Linked DNA regions of Lepisosteus oculatus. The protein of the gene in region 2 purifies or fractionates together with the protein of the main gene of each other region. This does not show direct contact. Links are inferred from orthologs where the notes say so. Each region holds a gene or a part of one and is shown on either strand. Other genes may lie near its edges.

Region 1 (7,363 bases), on a different chromosome or scaffold from region 2:
CAGGATCTGTCTTCTGCACTTAAAGAAGCAAGGGATAATAGCAATTCTGTGTTCCACCATTGTCCCTTGTGTTTCTGGAGTGTCTTTTTACCACTGTGATATCGTAAAAACAAAACGCCCCCGGTGCTGCATGGTTCCAGGTGGTGTTTTTTTGTTTGTCATGCACATGCTGAGGAAGCATGGGTCAGAAACAGGGTGGCGAGGCATCAAGGAGGCCCTTGCCTGGACCAGACCTGGACCAGACCTGGACCAGACCTGGACCAGACCTGGACCAGACCTGGACCCGCTCTCCACCTTAGTTTTGTGAATCCAAATCCCTGGGATCCCCTCCCAAAGCCTTCATGTTTTACATCGGTCTGATTCTGCCCAGCAGTCCTCTCATAGGCTCAGAAATTGTCATCTTCATTTATGTCAACCACTTAACAAAGTGGCCATATTAAATGTTTCACGCTCATTGTTCAACCTTGCACAGCAGCAAGGATTATTATTTTCAGGTGTCATACAGTAGGGGAGAGACTAATTAATCATCATCATTGTTCAGTTTCCAAGTTTTTTTTTTTCACTCCCTGAAGCTGAAGGTTACTGTCCTCTCCTTAGTAGTTTAGTTGGTTAGTTTTGTTCAGAGGGGGAGTTCAAAGTTCCTTCCTCCCCTTTGTGTCCAGGAGGCCATGTATTGTGACAGACCCTGATGATTTATGTAGCTACAGCCGACATGTGCAAGATGTCCCATTCAGGACCTTTCCCTCCATTTCTTGGTTTTTAACTAGATGTTTTCCCAATGCTGTTATCTGTGCATTGAGAATGTAGTTGTAGGCTTTCGTTTAATAGTGCATGGGGAAAAAAGACATGTATTAACCAGTATGGCTTAACTTTGAATGTTTCACCCACTAACCTCAAAATTAATGTTTTTTTAATATGCATTACATCTTTAAATTAATGGCTGCACCCTGAAATCGCATTAGCAATAATTGCTACTCTGCAGTCCTTGGTAAAATCATACCCTGAGCGCTGTTATTATAGAGAGGGCTGAAGGGCAGGGTTATTGATGTCCAGACCCAAGTAAAACTGCACTGCAATCCATGCCATTAAAAGAAGCACAAAACGTCAGTCTTTATGCGTTTTGAATAGTGTGTAATTCTGATTCAGAGCCAGGATGCTCTGGTCATCATGGAATTTCCTTGCTGGCTTTTAATACCACAATCGTAAAGTGCTATAAATACAAGCATCTGTGCTGGGTTTGTAGTGTCTGCACTCATTGTAAAAGCTGAGGAGACAGTTGTCTGTCCTTGTTCTATAAAGATGTTTGGTTTTCTTTGCTGATGTAAGCTCTGCGTAATTACCTTGTGCACTTACATAGCGTGTGTCCTCCTTTGGGAAACAGTGATATTCTAGGCAGAGGTTTTAGCTCTGTTGTGAAAGTGCTGCTCTAGACTCTTTTAAAGTTATAGTTCATTAATTATGAACCCTGACCATGGCTATATTCCATCATCCCAAAAGGCAGAGGTGAATATTTTTTTTGTTTGCTTCCAGTCTACTGTTCATTAGTGCACTGAAACCAAAAACTAATGGAATAGTCTTTTTGATTTAACTCTTGTGTCTGTCACCCACAGTCACCTCATGTGTCCTGATAGACTCCTTGCGTGAGTTTGAGACAGGGCGGTGATGCTGCAAGTAAAATTGTGAAAGTACAGTGGTGTAAACTCACAAGTCAGTAGATATGAGAGTGCTGGGTTATCAATTGCCCTAGCTGAATTTAGAGCAAGGGTAAAATACTCCAATTAAGCAACTTGAATTACTTCAATTAACTAATTGAGCTAGTATGTGGGCCTCCAGGTCTAGAATTGGGACCCTTGCAGTAAACAAAATCAAAATGTGAGCTTCTGGACGTTGCTTTGCTCAGTTCTTCCAAGTCCACTCCAAATATTTACCATTTTTGTTCTTTTATCTTGCCTTTCGGTACAGAACATTCTCAGGGCACTTTACATTCATCCAATAATAAAAGTACAATAAACAGAATATTCTGTAAAACCAGATATAATTGAGAGAGAAAAAAAAGAAATGAACTGATAATTAAAGGCTATCAAGAAATAATATAAACCTATAAATCGGTAGCAATGTCATGATAGTGGATAGAATATGATGTCCAGATGACTGAAACCTGTGGGATGATTGTGTATTCCTAATAAGTTGCATCAATAGTCTTTTGCAAATGTTATACATATATACAATATATTGTATATTCTGTTTGTTTAAGCCATAAGTCACCTGGAATGAAGAGATCTACACAATTCTGTATTATCACAGTAGTAGATAATGTTGGCAACTGAAAAAGACTTCAGCGCTGTGAAAAGGCTTGAATATAACCACCAAGGCCACAGTGTGTTCGTGCTGTATAAGTAATATAACATTTCTGTGCAGAATTTGATACTGAAAGAATGTATTCAGATTATAAGGGACAAATATCAATAGTGCCATTGTCTGACTGCAGTACTTCCCCTGGTATTATTGTCTTTTTAATGTGCTTGATATATGGTGATTAATATTAAAAATATTGAATAATATTTTTAATAAAGTAATGAATATTAGACATCTCACTGGCTTCTCATATGTGCTGAAGAATGCATATGCAGAATAATTTTATTTCCTTTGGAGATTTTCTCTGTTCTTAATGAGTGCCAGGGACTTTGAGAAATCTGAGTAACTGCGATGTAGCTTCTCTGTAACGTGTAGAAAGAACATGTTATAACCTTGAAACTTCATACTCGTGATGTCTGGTGCATTGGCACTGCGCTTTACTGTACTGCCCTCTTGTGTTGGTATTTATTAATACTTCACTGAATTTTATCGAATGTAAAAACAGGCTTCCTGTTATTTTACAACAAAGGGGTGTCATTTCCCCAGAAAGTGTTTTGTTATAACATGGATCACCCAGTCTATGTGTTTTTAAACAACTGCTTATAGCATCGCTCCTCTCTTTCTGACACCCTAAGGTGTACATAAAAATCTCCTTAGCTAAAATTGACATTTGTCCTTTTATAATAAATGAGTAAGTTTAAACACAGCAATGCCATCGGTGTGAAAATTCAAAGTACTCCAATATACTTGTAGTGACGAAGAACTTTGAAGTCCTTTTTTTAAAGACCTGTGTGTCGAGGCTGGTCGCTGTGGGTGGTGTGAAGCAGGCAGCACCAGTGATCTGGAGGATAGTATTGCTGCCTCGTGGCTGTTGCCTCCTGGATTCAGATCCTTCTGTGGGGAGTTTGCCTGTGCTCCCTGTGGCAACAACAGAGAGCTCCTACCCCCCCCCAGTCCAAACTCTGCTGTCTAGGTTCATTGGTACCTGAAGAAGTGTCCACTGTTGACACCCTAGTGTTATATTGCAACCGTTGATCGTTTTTACCATTTCAAGTACAGGTTTGACACGTTTGCTACGAAGACGTCTGTAGCAATTATCTTAGTGGTTAATTTTTTTGTACAGAATAAATTGCGGTATGCTAGTGTCTTTTTTTTAATGCAAGATTTAGCCTATTACTTGAGAAATAAACACATGGGACCACATCGTGTTTAACTATTTTGGTGTATCTAAATCACAATTTGTGTAACTTTGGTAACTTGCATTTGTATTCATAAATCTCCACAATTTAAAGATGTAGTAGTTGGGATGCACCATATACATATTTATTCCAACTGGAAAGCACAATGATAATAAAGGATGCGATATTATACACTGATATGTCTTGTTTTTCTTATGAAGCAAAGCACTCACTTTTATGAATAAGGTGAGTTCGGCTGTGCCCTTTGTAAACACACTGGTAAGAGTTGCTGACCTAACCGCATAACTTAGTTGTTCCATCACTGTATTTTTATTAGTGCACAATTTAATGTAACGGTAAAACGAAGCAGAGTCTACGTAAAACAATACATTTTGTTTACACCTCCAAAGGTCATTATTATATTTTATAAATCGTAAAACAGATGGCAAAACCTAGATCAGAAATAACTCAAACCCAGACCAGATGCTACTACTATATCCCTTTTATACCAAGTGCCCATCACCAACTTAATGGAATACCCACCCCAGTCGTCTTATTGGGGGTTCAGCAAATATCTAATTATTTCAGGTGGGTAGCTGCGTCAGCATGCGTAGCTCCACGGCCGAACCGTTGTGTTCTCTTTCTTCTTTTTTTCAGCATGGAATAAACCTATTACTTGTTCCTTTGCTATCTAATTATTTGATTGGCCCTTTTCTTTATGCAGAGTCGCGTACGCCTCATTCTCACCTCCGATTGGCTAGTCTCTGCAGGCCTTTGCGACCATTGGTCACTGCGCCATCAATCGGCGACGAGCCGGTAAGGGGGGAGGAGCTTCAGCAGCCACTGGTGTTCTTTCAAAGATGGCGGCGGTGGTGAGCAAGATGGAAGATAATTTTCTTGACAATTTAAACTAATTTCAAGCGTGTAAAACAAAATTTATTACTTACAAGGTAAGTAATTGGACGCTGTGGGGAGACTAAAATGATTATCGATTTATTTCGGTTTTTAAAATACCGGAAGAGTTACTGTGGGGGGGGGAGTCTTTTTTTGTGTAGTGGAGCACCAAAAAAAAAATTAAATGAACGAGCTTCATATATGTTTCAAAATTCAGGGTGATTAAGTTAACTCAGGATGTGATAGACATTTAGAATTTATTTTTTAATGTAGAAAATTGTGCCTTTGTTGTAATAAGATATTTCCGAAAACCCACACCTAGCAGTATTTGTTTAACCTAAATAAAACAATAAAAAATAATAAAACCTAATAGATTTCCACCCGACACGGAGTTTTATTATTTTTCATCGTATGAATGTGAAGGCTTAAAAAAACTGTTTTCTACGGGCAAGAAGACACCCAAAAAACCATCTGTTCTGTAAGTGTAAGGATATTACAGTTACATTTGCAAAGCGTGACACTGATAGGCGTTACAGGCCCCATTCAGTTGGCTCAGTTACGTATGGAGATATATGCACTTCTTTTGGTGACATTTTAGCATATAGTTTCTAAGCATAATCTGTATCAAGCACAATCGGCAGAAGAAATCCCGATATTATCAAATAAATCGCGTTCGGCAGCGACTGTTACTGCTGTATGAATGAGAACGTGTCTTTGTATCCTTTTAATTTACGAGAAATTTAAATGTCTCCTTTTAAATCGCGTTATTCTGTTTTCATGTAGATAAGTTCGGAAACGGACCAGACGCCGAATTCTGGTCCGTGGGGTCGTACGGTACTATCAAAAGAGATCGGAAGTAGATTGATCATCTTTAAAATGTTGAAATGAGATTATTGGGGTGTCGTTAATCAGACTTCAGTCCCTTTCTAGCTAGTTGTTCAGTGTGAATAAAGGATGAAAAGGGTGTTATAAACTACAAGAAGGACTGTTTCTCCCAGTGTGTAGGTTGTGCAAATAGTACTTTAAAAGTCATTAGTCCAGCAATTTAATTTTTTAACACAATTTGAGTTCTTATACGTACATTTTTAAAAAGTAGTTTTTGGACACCTCTTGAAATACAAATTGGAAGGTTACTTCCGATATTACTTGCTCAAATATCGGTTACAATAAATAACAACTCAGTTATTGTATAAAAACATAGACTAGATAATATCTTTCATTATTTTCCACGTGGGTGCTCAGTGCAATAAAATAGATATCTATAGTGAATATAAAACATGAAAATACAAGTTAAAGATAATATGCAGTGACCGTATAGGCAAAAGGTAGGGGTCAATAGAAGCAGATAACAGCTGCCCTACAAATCATACAAATCATGGTTGACCTTATTTGGTAAACAGCCTTTAAGTGCCTTAAAATATTTAATCTTTTTTCTTTATTAGTTATGAAAAACTATAATTGAACTATCTAGCTGATGCCTTTCAAATATGAGGCAGTCTTCAAATATTCTGTTTAAGATGGAGGATATCATAGAGAAATACCCGAATGCTAAAAACACTGTCAAAATAAGAAGACACCTGCCCGCTGAGCTCTTTTTCTTTTGTTTTTCCTCCCTAGTTGGGACTTTCCGCTGAAGACTTGACCATGGAAGACGAACAGTGCCTAGCTATGGGCAACATTTAAGCTGAGTGCATTGTGATTTCCAATAATTGAGACAGTGATTCTAAAAAGCTGTCTACATTAATGAAAAGAACAATGTAGTCAGCTTAACATAATCAACAATTACATGACCAAAAGAGAGTGTGTTTTAGAGTAACGAGGAATGTTTCTCCACACGTCTTTAAGTAGTCGAAAACCTCCATTAAAGGGGAAAGAAATAATCATTTTTTAATAATTCAGTTGTATACATTTCCTCCTTCTCTGTATTTTTAGAATAGCATTATTCATTGTTGAAATGGAGACTGATGAAATTCTGCCGCCCCTCCCACAAGGGCCACCTGATGCTTTGAGCTTGGACAGCCTTAATAGTCCCCCACCGTTGCCGCCAAGCACACAGCCTCCACCACCTCCCCTGCAAACGTCCAGTGACGCAGAGGAAATGGACGTTAGCTCAGGTGGTGATGGACAGACAGACGCCCCAGCAGGGGACACTGAAACGACTGGCGCAGAACAGCTCCTCGCGAAGGGATCTGCTTCCTTCACCAGCCGTCTCGCAGACGAGCCAGATTCGAGCCCCCTGAACCCGAGAACCGCTCGGCACGCGCCGCCCGTCACCAAGTTCTTGCCCGACTTGAAGCTACTGAAAGACGTCAAGATTAGCGTGAGCTTTACAGAGAGCAGCAGGAGCAAAGACAGGAAGGTATTGTACACTGGGAAGGGTCAGGAGGTGCAGGCGGACACCCAGCTTAGCAGTGATGGCGTAAACGGCGAGCTGCATGATGCCGATCTGGGGTTAGCTGATGGGCAGGGTCAGGGTGATGCCACTGTAGATGCAGGGAGGAAGGGTGAGGACGTGGAGGCTGACTTGGAGAAGAAAGTAGAATTTGCGGTTCTGGATGAACTCGAGGATTTCACTGAGAATTTTATGGAGACTGGAGACGGAGACCAAGGAGGTTTCCAGTCTGAGGTGATTGTTCAGCAGGAGCAAGCAGATGAGGAAACCCTGAATTATTCCTATGAGGTAAGTTGGCATTTTTTTAATGGTTCGGCTTGCTGCTGTGGAACACATGGTCCTTCCACTACATTGTACACCGTGACCTTATGTAGTTTTCACATGCCTTCATCAGTTGTGGATCACTTTGTTACGTTTTTTTATATGTATAGTTTATCAAATCTTTTTTAAATTGGATATTTTTTTATTAGAGGTTAAAAATAATATTTTTTCTCCAAGATGTGGCTGGTTGTTTTAGACTGTATCGCATCTGGTGGGATCTGTA
Region 2 (7,933 bases):
CACACCAGCTACCAGTGAGGAGGAGAACAAAGTGATGAAGTCAATTCATAGATGGAGATTATTAGGAGGCCATGATTGGTAAAGGCCAATGGGAAATTTGGCCAGGACACCGGGGTTACACCCCTACTCTTTTTGAGACACACCTTGGGATTTTTAATGACCACAGAGAGTCAGGGCCTCGGTTTTACATCTCATGCGAAGTATGGTGCCTTTTTAGAGTATAGTGTCCCTGTCACTATACTGGGGCATAAGGACCCACACAGACCGCAGGATGAGCGCCCCCTGCTGGCCCCACTAACACCTCTTCCAGCAGCAGCCTTAGCTTTCCCAGGAGTCTCCCCTCCAGGTACTGGCCAGGCTCACACCTGCTGAGCTTCAGTGGGCTGCCAGCGGTGAGCTGCAGGGTGATCTGGCTGCTGATGCGACTGTCCCTGTAACCCCCAGGCAAGGCAGAAGCGGATGGAAAGATGCACGTGACCCTGTGTGACTTCATCGTGCCCTGGGAGTCCATGAGCGCCACTCAGAAGAAGAGTCTGAACCAGCGGTACCAGATGGGCTGTGAGTGCAAGGTGAGGAGGGACCGGTCTGGCCATGGGGTGGCGATTCCCAGTCCGGGTCCAGGATACCCACGGGCCTGCCGGGCTTTCTTCCAGCCCAGCTCTCAGCGACGCAACCAGTCCCCCCGTTGACTTAATCATAGGATTAGTTCCTGCTCCTAAACATCATATTTTGTGCCCCTCATTCCTCTTTTAGTGTCTCGGTTCTCTCTTATCTTGTTTGTGGCCATCCCTGTGTTCTGATGTTAACTGCTTTAAAGCCAAAAGCGCGAAACTCGTCCCTCGTCTCTCGTTTTTGCAGCACAGCCTCCCCCGGGATGCTGTGCAGCGGCCGGCGGCGGCGCTGGCAAGGAAGACGAGCGCGGCCCCAGCTAACGGGTGTTGTCCTTCCACAGATATCGCGCTGCTCCTCCATCCCGTGCATCATCAACAGCCAGGACGAGTGCCTGTGGACGGACTGGGTGATGGAGAAGAGCATCAGCGGTCGTCAGGCCAACCACTACGCCTGCATCAAGAGGAGTGACGGCTCCTGTGCTTGGTACCGCGGAGTGGCGCCCCCCAAGAAGGAATTCTTGGACATTGAGGACCCCTAAACCCCCACCCCCCACACACACACCCCCACCCCCACCCCCCCCTGCTCGCCCGCCCACGCGTGCCCTCTGCGCCGCCGGCAGACACCGCCTGCGAAACGATAAGAAGAAAAAAAAGAGCATTATAAATAATTAAATAAACAGTGAGATTATTAAAACGTAACAGATGTAGACTGGTCGAGTGATGACGTCACTTCCTCAAGAAGCCTTGCAGCAACTACGGCAGTGTGTGAGGGACAATCTTGTGAGGACAGCACTTTCTGCCCCAAAAAGCGCTTATTCTTCTTTAAAAAAAAATAATACAGCAAAATTAAAATAACCTACCAAACATTGGTTTGTGCTTTACTTATAGCAAGGGTATAACAATATCTTTGTCCACAACAAAGGTGTTGTTTATCCTGTTGAAAGCCAAATCTCCAAAGGTCAAATCTCACTGAACATTTCCTGTTTCTCATAACCATGCAGCTTGAACCAATCAGATTCATGGTGAGGCGGGACTTCCCAGAATATTGTGATGTTTGTTTCTGAATGACAGCATTATGTGTAAAAAAAAAAATGCATGGTTTATGAGATGGAAATTTTGAACCAAAGGCTTGAACTACTCATTTCTAGCAGTTTTGAGACGCAATAAAGAACTGACCTGTGCGTTCTTCCAGTCGTTGCCTTTAGCACTTTCTCGGTTCACCAAGAGATACCCTGTTGAAAATAAAATAGTGCTCACGATGCTTTTCACACGTGTTGGGAATTCTTAAACTGTTACGTGTCGTAAAAGGGCATGATTTAGTCTGAGCCATGAAATAGAGGTTTGCTGACATACAGTAGGTCTTACATAAGAGGCCTATCAGTGTTTGAAACTGTTTGTTTGCAAGTCAGCTGGGCCTTCTGCCCCCTGTGGCGTCAGGAGTGCTGATGTCAGGGTGAAGAGGACTGTGGGTATTTGGGGCTGGGAGCTGGCTGGCAGTGTGCAGGGGTGTGAATGTACAGAAGCAGCTTCTCTGGGCACAGCTGGCACAGCCTCTCCTCTGCCAAAGCAGCAGACTCTTCCCAGGGCGGGATTGTTCCTGGTCTTAGACCTTGAACAGGGCAGATTGGAATACCGGCCGAGTGAACCGTCGCCAGAAACCGTCCGCACGAGGTAGTCGTGACCAGAATTTGGAAACCCAGTCGCGTTTGTGGCGTTGTGGTGGAAGCGAAAGCCGAGACCCAGACTCAGCCCTCGGAGAAACCTCAGTTCGCTAGGAAATGAAGGAATGTAATCGTGTTCCACAATTTGAACAGTAGTTCAGTGACAGATTTGACCTTTCTCCTCCTCGAGGGGATTCCTGATGTCTCACTGGTCCAGTCTATGCCTTGTCAATAAAGTAATGGAGCCTCGCTTGCTGTGGTTGTTCCTATACGCTCCTATGGCCTATCCTCTGTCCACATTGTCTTCCTGTCCCCTGTACAGTACCTATGCATATACGTTTGTTATTTTTATACATATATTTTTAAATTCTTTTTTATTATAATTATTAATAATCTTGGTTAGACCTTTTTAGATTTGCACTTTCTAAGGAGTCGAGACATTTGGTCAAAAGACGAAGGTCTCAAACAGGGAGGATTGAATCCTCTTCTTGATTTTTGTAATTTTTGTTTTGTAACCTTCTAGTTCTTTATACAATTGATTTTCTAATATTATTGTTTGGTCTTGCTACTTTCATGTAATGCTTTTATTCTCTCTTTTTTCTTTAAAGTACTATAGAAACTTCAAATCCCCCCCCCCCCCCACAATTTGTGTATGTTGAGTTGCTGTAAGGCAGGGCTCGAGGTTATGATGACCCACAGCACACATTGTGATGTCTAGGAAACCATATGTTGTTCATAACCGTGTTCATTGCCAGGAACTACTTTATAGAGTGTGTTTCAGGAGACTGAAACCAAATAAAGGAACAATTTAAACAAGTGAAATGATAAAGGAATGTATTCTTTGACTTCATATCCCATTGCTTCAGGTCAGGTATAAATGCACATCCATCTTTAGAAATCTGATTCCTGGAGCATTAACAAGTATTGCGATTTAGAAATATAGAGTACGTTTATAAGGAAGCATCCAGGGTGTTCAGTATCATAATATTCTTCATTCATTCTCCCAATACTCTTAACGCCTACACCATATTGATCATGGTGATTTGTTAAAAAGCAGTATTCCTGGTTTTGCATTTCATACTGATATTTTTTTCTTAAAATCACTATGGAATATAGTTTCTCAAAAAAGACAGTTTCCTAAGCAAAGACTATTGTATCACGCCATTTTCATAAACGCACAGTGCTTTGCTGGAGAAATATCGCAGTGACTCCAGACCGCTGGGTTGTGCAGTTTGATTGCTCTCAGTGTCATTTTGAAATCTCTGGAATTAATTGCGTAATAGTTTTATGCATTTGTATCACTGAAAATAAACTGATCTGTGGCAATATGTTAAAGTAGCTGTCTTGCAGAGATGTTTGTAGGGTAAGTTACTGTGTCTCCATATACATGAAGGGCAAAGTGCAGGCATCATTCAACAAGAACTGTACTACAGCCTGTTAACTGATTAATTGGGTTTGATAAATAAGTACACTTTACTTAAGGATGAGTGATGTTTTTTTTTTTTACATTTATTGAACATTGGTTCATCCCAGCCATTAGTAAAAGTTCCAGATTTCACATAAGTTCATTTCAGATGGGGGAAATCAATACTTAGAGGTTTAGTCAAACTATCTTGGTCTGATAAAACACCAAGCAACATGATTTTAAATGCTGCAGAGTGTTGCTCTAATGATATTCAACTGTTTGAAATAATAGGAGATGTAATTATCTGCATTCAGGTCCCAGACAGTAATGGCAAATCTGCTAAAAAACAGTCCATTACTTTAAACACACATTTCTGTCTTGCGTAGAGAAATTCATCCTACAAGACCTGTTAAGTGAAAGCAAAAGTTTACATGGTATTTTTAGTATTTTGTTGCTATTCAAGTACTAGATGTATCTGAAAACGCATAATTTAAATCTTGAGTGATCTGTGTTTTTTCTTTATTTGGCCATTTTATTTTTTTATTGTATTTTTTTTCTTCTTTCTCTGATGTTTGCTGAAGAGTGAGATTTCTTGTGCTGGAGACACATGAGAGCCATTGTAAAATGAAAACCAGACTATGCATGTCTTTGACGCTTTGTATAATTCATATGTGGGCATACAGTCAATGGATTAAATATACAGTATTATCAAATAAAAATTTAGAATAACATGTCTCTTCATTTCTTATAAGATAACCTCCCTCCCTGGACTATGGCTAATTCACATGCGTCTTATTGACCTGGATTTTAAAATGGCAACAGATTTGGTCATCGGAAGTATAAGTAATTTCAGTTCTCCTCAACCCCTTTTAACTGAACTAAATGAGGACCTACAAATCCCTTGATATTAGTAGTTTTAAAATGAACTGCCCATGCTAGCGGTTTTTCGACACGGACCTTTCACCCAATGTGTTCGACAAAATATTTTCTTTGCATCTAGAAGTCTGTTTTTTTAGTAGTCTATGAAAGAACCTTTATCATAGCAGCAATTCAATTGCATCCTTCCTAACCCATATCCTTTCGTTGTTTATTTTTACTCATTACCTTCAGACGCACGGAAGGGACGTTAACAAATGGAACTCTATCCACTGTTTTACGGATTTAAGTGTAAAAAGGGAGATGAAGATGAAATGTGGTGAAAGACTGCCTACTTGTGGTCGCACTATTTAATTACAATATTACCACAAAAACAACACAAAACAGGCTGTGCTTCATTGCCATTACAGCCCTCTTACCTATGATATTCTTCGGATAAATCGAGCACACCAGTAAGACTGATTATATATATATATCACACGATGTAGGCCTACACTGAAAGCCTGGATGGACTAAAACATAAAATATATGACCTGAAAAACAAATATGAAAAAGATGAGGCTCATGTATTTTTTAAGATACAAATAAAACGTATGACGGATATATTTTAACCGCACATTGGCGTGTTTAACGAAGAACAAAGGCTACAAGAGACTGCACTAAATGACGTTATCTTACCGAGCAAGATTTGGCAAATTATATTTTAAAAAACAGAACGACGCCACACGTGTACAATGAACACCATACAGAAATCGGTTTAAAAATGTTTCGTTGTTGTTTACAATCTGGAGTTTGGTGGGGCTTGGAGCTCATGCGGTTATTTTCGCGAAAATACGGTGTCGTTTGAGAAGCCGGGTGCTGCGAATTGAGGAGTAAATTTGTGTTGTGTGTGTTGTACAGAGAAAAGGCTTTCGGTGTTATTCTCACAAGACTCCCCACAGCTTCGGAGCCGGGATACAGACACAAACCACGATTTTTAGGTAAGATGGAGACCCGGAGCTCTGGGTTTGGCCTTGAGGTGAGAGCTGTTTCATCTTGTTCTAAGTCTGGTTTGTATTAACGTGCATTTGCTGTATCTGGTCAAATCTTCAAACGTCGCATAATAGTCTCGAATCAAGAAGGAGGCAAATTCGGGTAAACGAGGCAGCGTTACTGTCACTTTGCTGAATACTGTAGTAAATTCTTAAAATAATTTTATATTCATCTTAACTGAACCAGTTAATGTTCACGTTAAGTGAAGTGAGTCTGTTTTCTAGAGGATGACCTTAGGTGCGATTTGCTGTTGTGGTGTATTTACCGTATTACGGCACTGAGCTACTATTCGATTGATCACCAGTGATCCAAAAGACAAGTTATTTTGACTGCCACATATACAATACTTCTCTTTCCACAACTAGAAGATACATTTCTGGGATAATTACTCAAATACCAGTTCTACGTTTTCGCTGTTGTACACTTTAGTCTGGGGATTCCAAGAAATGCTGCATTAACTGTCTAGTTGGTTTACACCACTGAAAACAAAATATGGCGTATCTGAAGGTACCACTTGATCCTCTTCATTTTAATGTGTTGGATTACTTTTGTGAGCTTTTTACTGTTACACATTTTCCATTAAACACATTTTTCCCTTCCAGTATTTTCACCAAGATGGAGCTTTTTAAAAGTTTATCACTGCAGGAATTCACAGAGGATGGTGATACTAGTCAGCATTTGTGTTTTCAGTCCAGAGCTGTGCCGCCTGGGGTTATTGTTGGGATGAGACAGTGGAGGGCAAGCACATTGCATTTAAAGATGTTGTATGGCATAAAACTGCTTATGGGTGAAAATAATCACTTGGATTTCTTTGTGGTGGGTTTATCTGAATAATTTCACCCAAACCGCTGAGCTGTGGTTGCTTTGGTAAGGGGTGTTGGTGGGTCACTAGGTGGCATCCTTCAGGTGATACATTGAACCAAGGTCCAGACGACCTTGTCATTAAAGGTCCCGGAGCACTGTCAGTAAGAGCAGAGGTCTTAGCCCTGGTGTCCAGGCTAAACTCCTATTTGGGCTTGTTCAGTCTGGCCTCCCCAAATAAACATCCTTCTTTAATATCACTGGTGAACCTGTGTCTAATTCTTCACCTGAAGAATGTACTGAGTGAGTGTACTGGTGCACTTTGGCTGCCGTTGCATCATGCAGGTAGAGCTGCACACTTGTGGTGGTGGAGGGGATCCCCATTACTTGTAAAGCGCTTCGAGTGGAGTTTCAGGAAAAGGGTATATAAGTGTATGGAATTATTATCATTATATACATGCAAGGAATTATAATTTTTTGTCAATCGGGCCGCACAGTGGCACTGTGATTAGCATTGACTCCTGATCTGGGATGCTATCTGTGTGGAGTTTGCATGTTCTTCCCGGTGTTTGTGTGGGTTTCCCCTTACAGTCCAGGGAATTCTGGTAAGTTAATGGGCCTCTGGGAGAACTGGCCCTGGTGTGAGTTTGTGCCTGTGGTGGACTGGTGTCCCGTCCAGGGTGTACCCTGACTTGCCGGGACAAGCTCCAGCTCTGCCAGGGAAGATGCATGGAAGAATGTTTTTTTAAAACTTTTTTTGTCAAAAGCACTAATATATCTCCTTATTCAAAACCATGATACATACATTTATCTGACTTTCATTATTCATTATCAGAAAGCTTCCTATTGCCAGTGATGGCCATCCCCCAGAACCACAATGTGCTAGACGGGGCAATAGTCAGTCCAATAGTGAGGTGTGCACACACAGGGACAAGTCAGTATCACTGACTTATGCACTCATGGTGTATTTCTAATATTAAGTTGCATTTGTTTTAATTTTGTACTTCAGTCAGCTTTGTGGTTATATGATGAGGTTTGCACTGTATTGGAAGGCTGTAAAAAGACTGCACTTTTACAGTTATATTCAGGAACTCTCTCCCCCTGCCCCCCAAAATAAATATAATTCAGGTTTATCTGCAAACCAAACACTATGTTGTTAAATGTCAGGAGGTCAAGGTCAGGAATTAACATAAAATATAATGTCGCCTCCTAGACTTATTCTAGATGGCCTTGGCGCAGTGAATTTACTAGATGAGAAACAGGCTTTATTCAGCCTGTTTCTCAGGAGTCCTCTTGGATGTAGAAAGGTATTATAAAGATTAAGAATATTGCAGCGCGCTTTTGCAGTTTGGCAAGAATTTAAACGTGACGCGCAAATCATACGTGTGGGAAAGGTGCGTAAGGGTCTATTTAAAAGCGGTAGGTCATCATCCATCACGGCCTGTGGAAGACTTTTTCAATTTAGTGCGTGATGAAGACCTGCCCAAGGTGAAAGAAATGTATGGAACTACCAGCGATGAATTAGGTACATGCTCACTATTCGCCTT

The links. Proteins that work in one complex are often made in the same cells at the same time.
Region 1: the proteins of usp36 (region 2) and dgcr8 purify together in Homo sapiens (affinity purification with western blotting; 3 studies listed by BioGRID, with this or other methods). This does not show direct contact. The link is inferred for Lepisosteus oculatus from reciprocal best matches to the Homo sapiens genes USP36 and DGCR8.

The regions. Positions count from the first base shown.
Region 1 is NC_090717.1:2,990,090-2,997,452, forward strand, and holds the start of dgcr8 (microprocessor complex subunit DGCR8), read left to right. Parts: upstream 1-4,361; 5' UTR 4,362-4,483; intron 4,484-6,044; 5' UTR 6,045-6,381; coding exon 6,382-7,107; intron 7,108-7,363.
Region 2 is NC_090704.1:41,287,874-41,295,806, forward strand, and holds the start of usp36 (ubiquitin carboxyl-terminal hydrolase 36), read left to right. Parts: upstream 1-4,923; 5' UTR 4,924-5,005; exon of another isoform or gene 5,006-5,453; 5' UTR 5,454-5,571; intron 5,572-6,187; 5' UTR 6,188-7,933. Other genes in the region: timp2a (metalloproteinase inhibitor 2a), read left to right, coding at 445-569, 953-1,150. UniProt on the Homo sapiens protein: Deubiquitinase essential for the regulation of nucleolar structure and function. Required for cell and organism viability.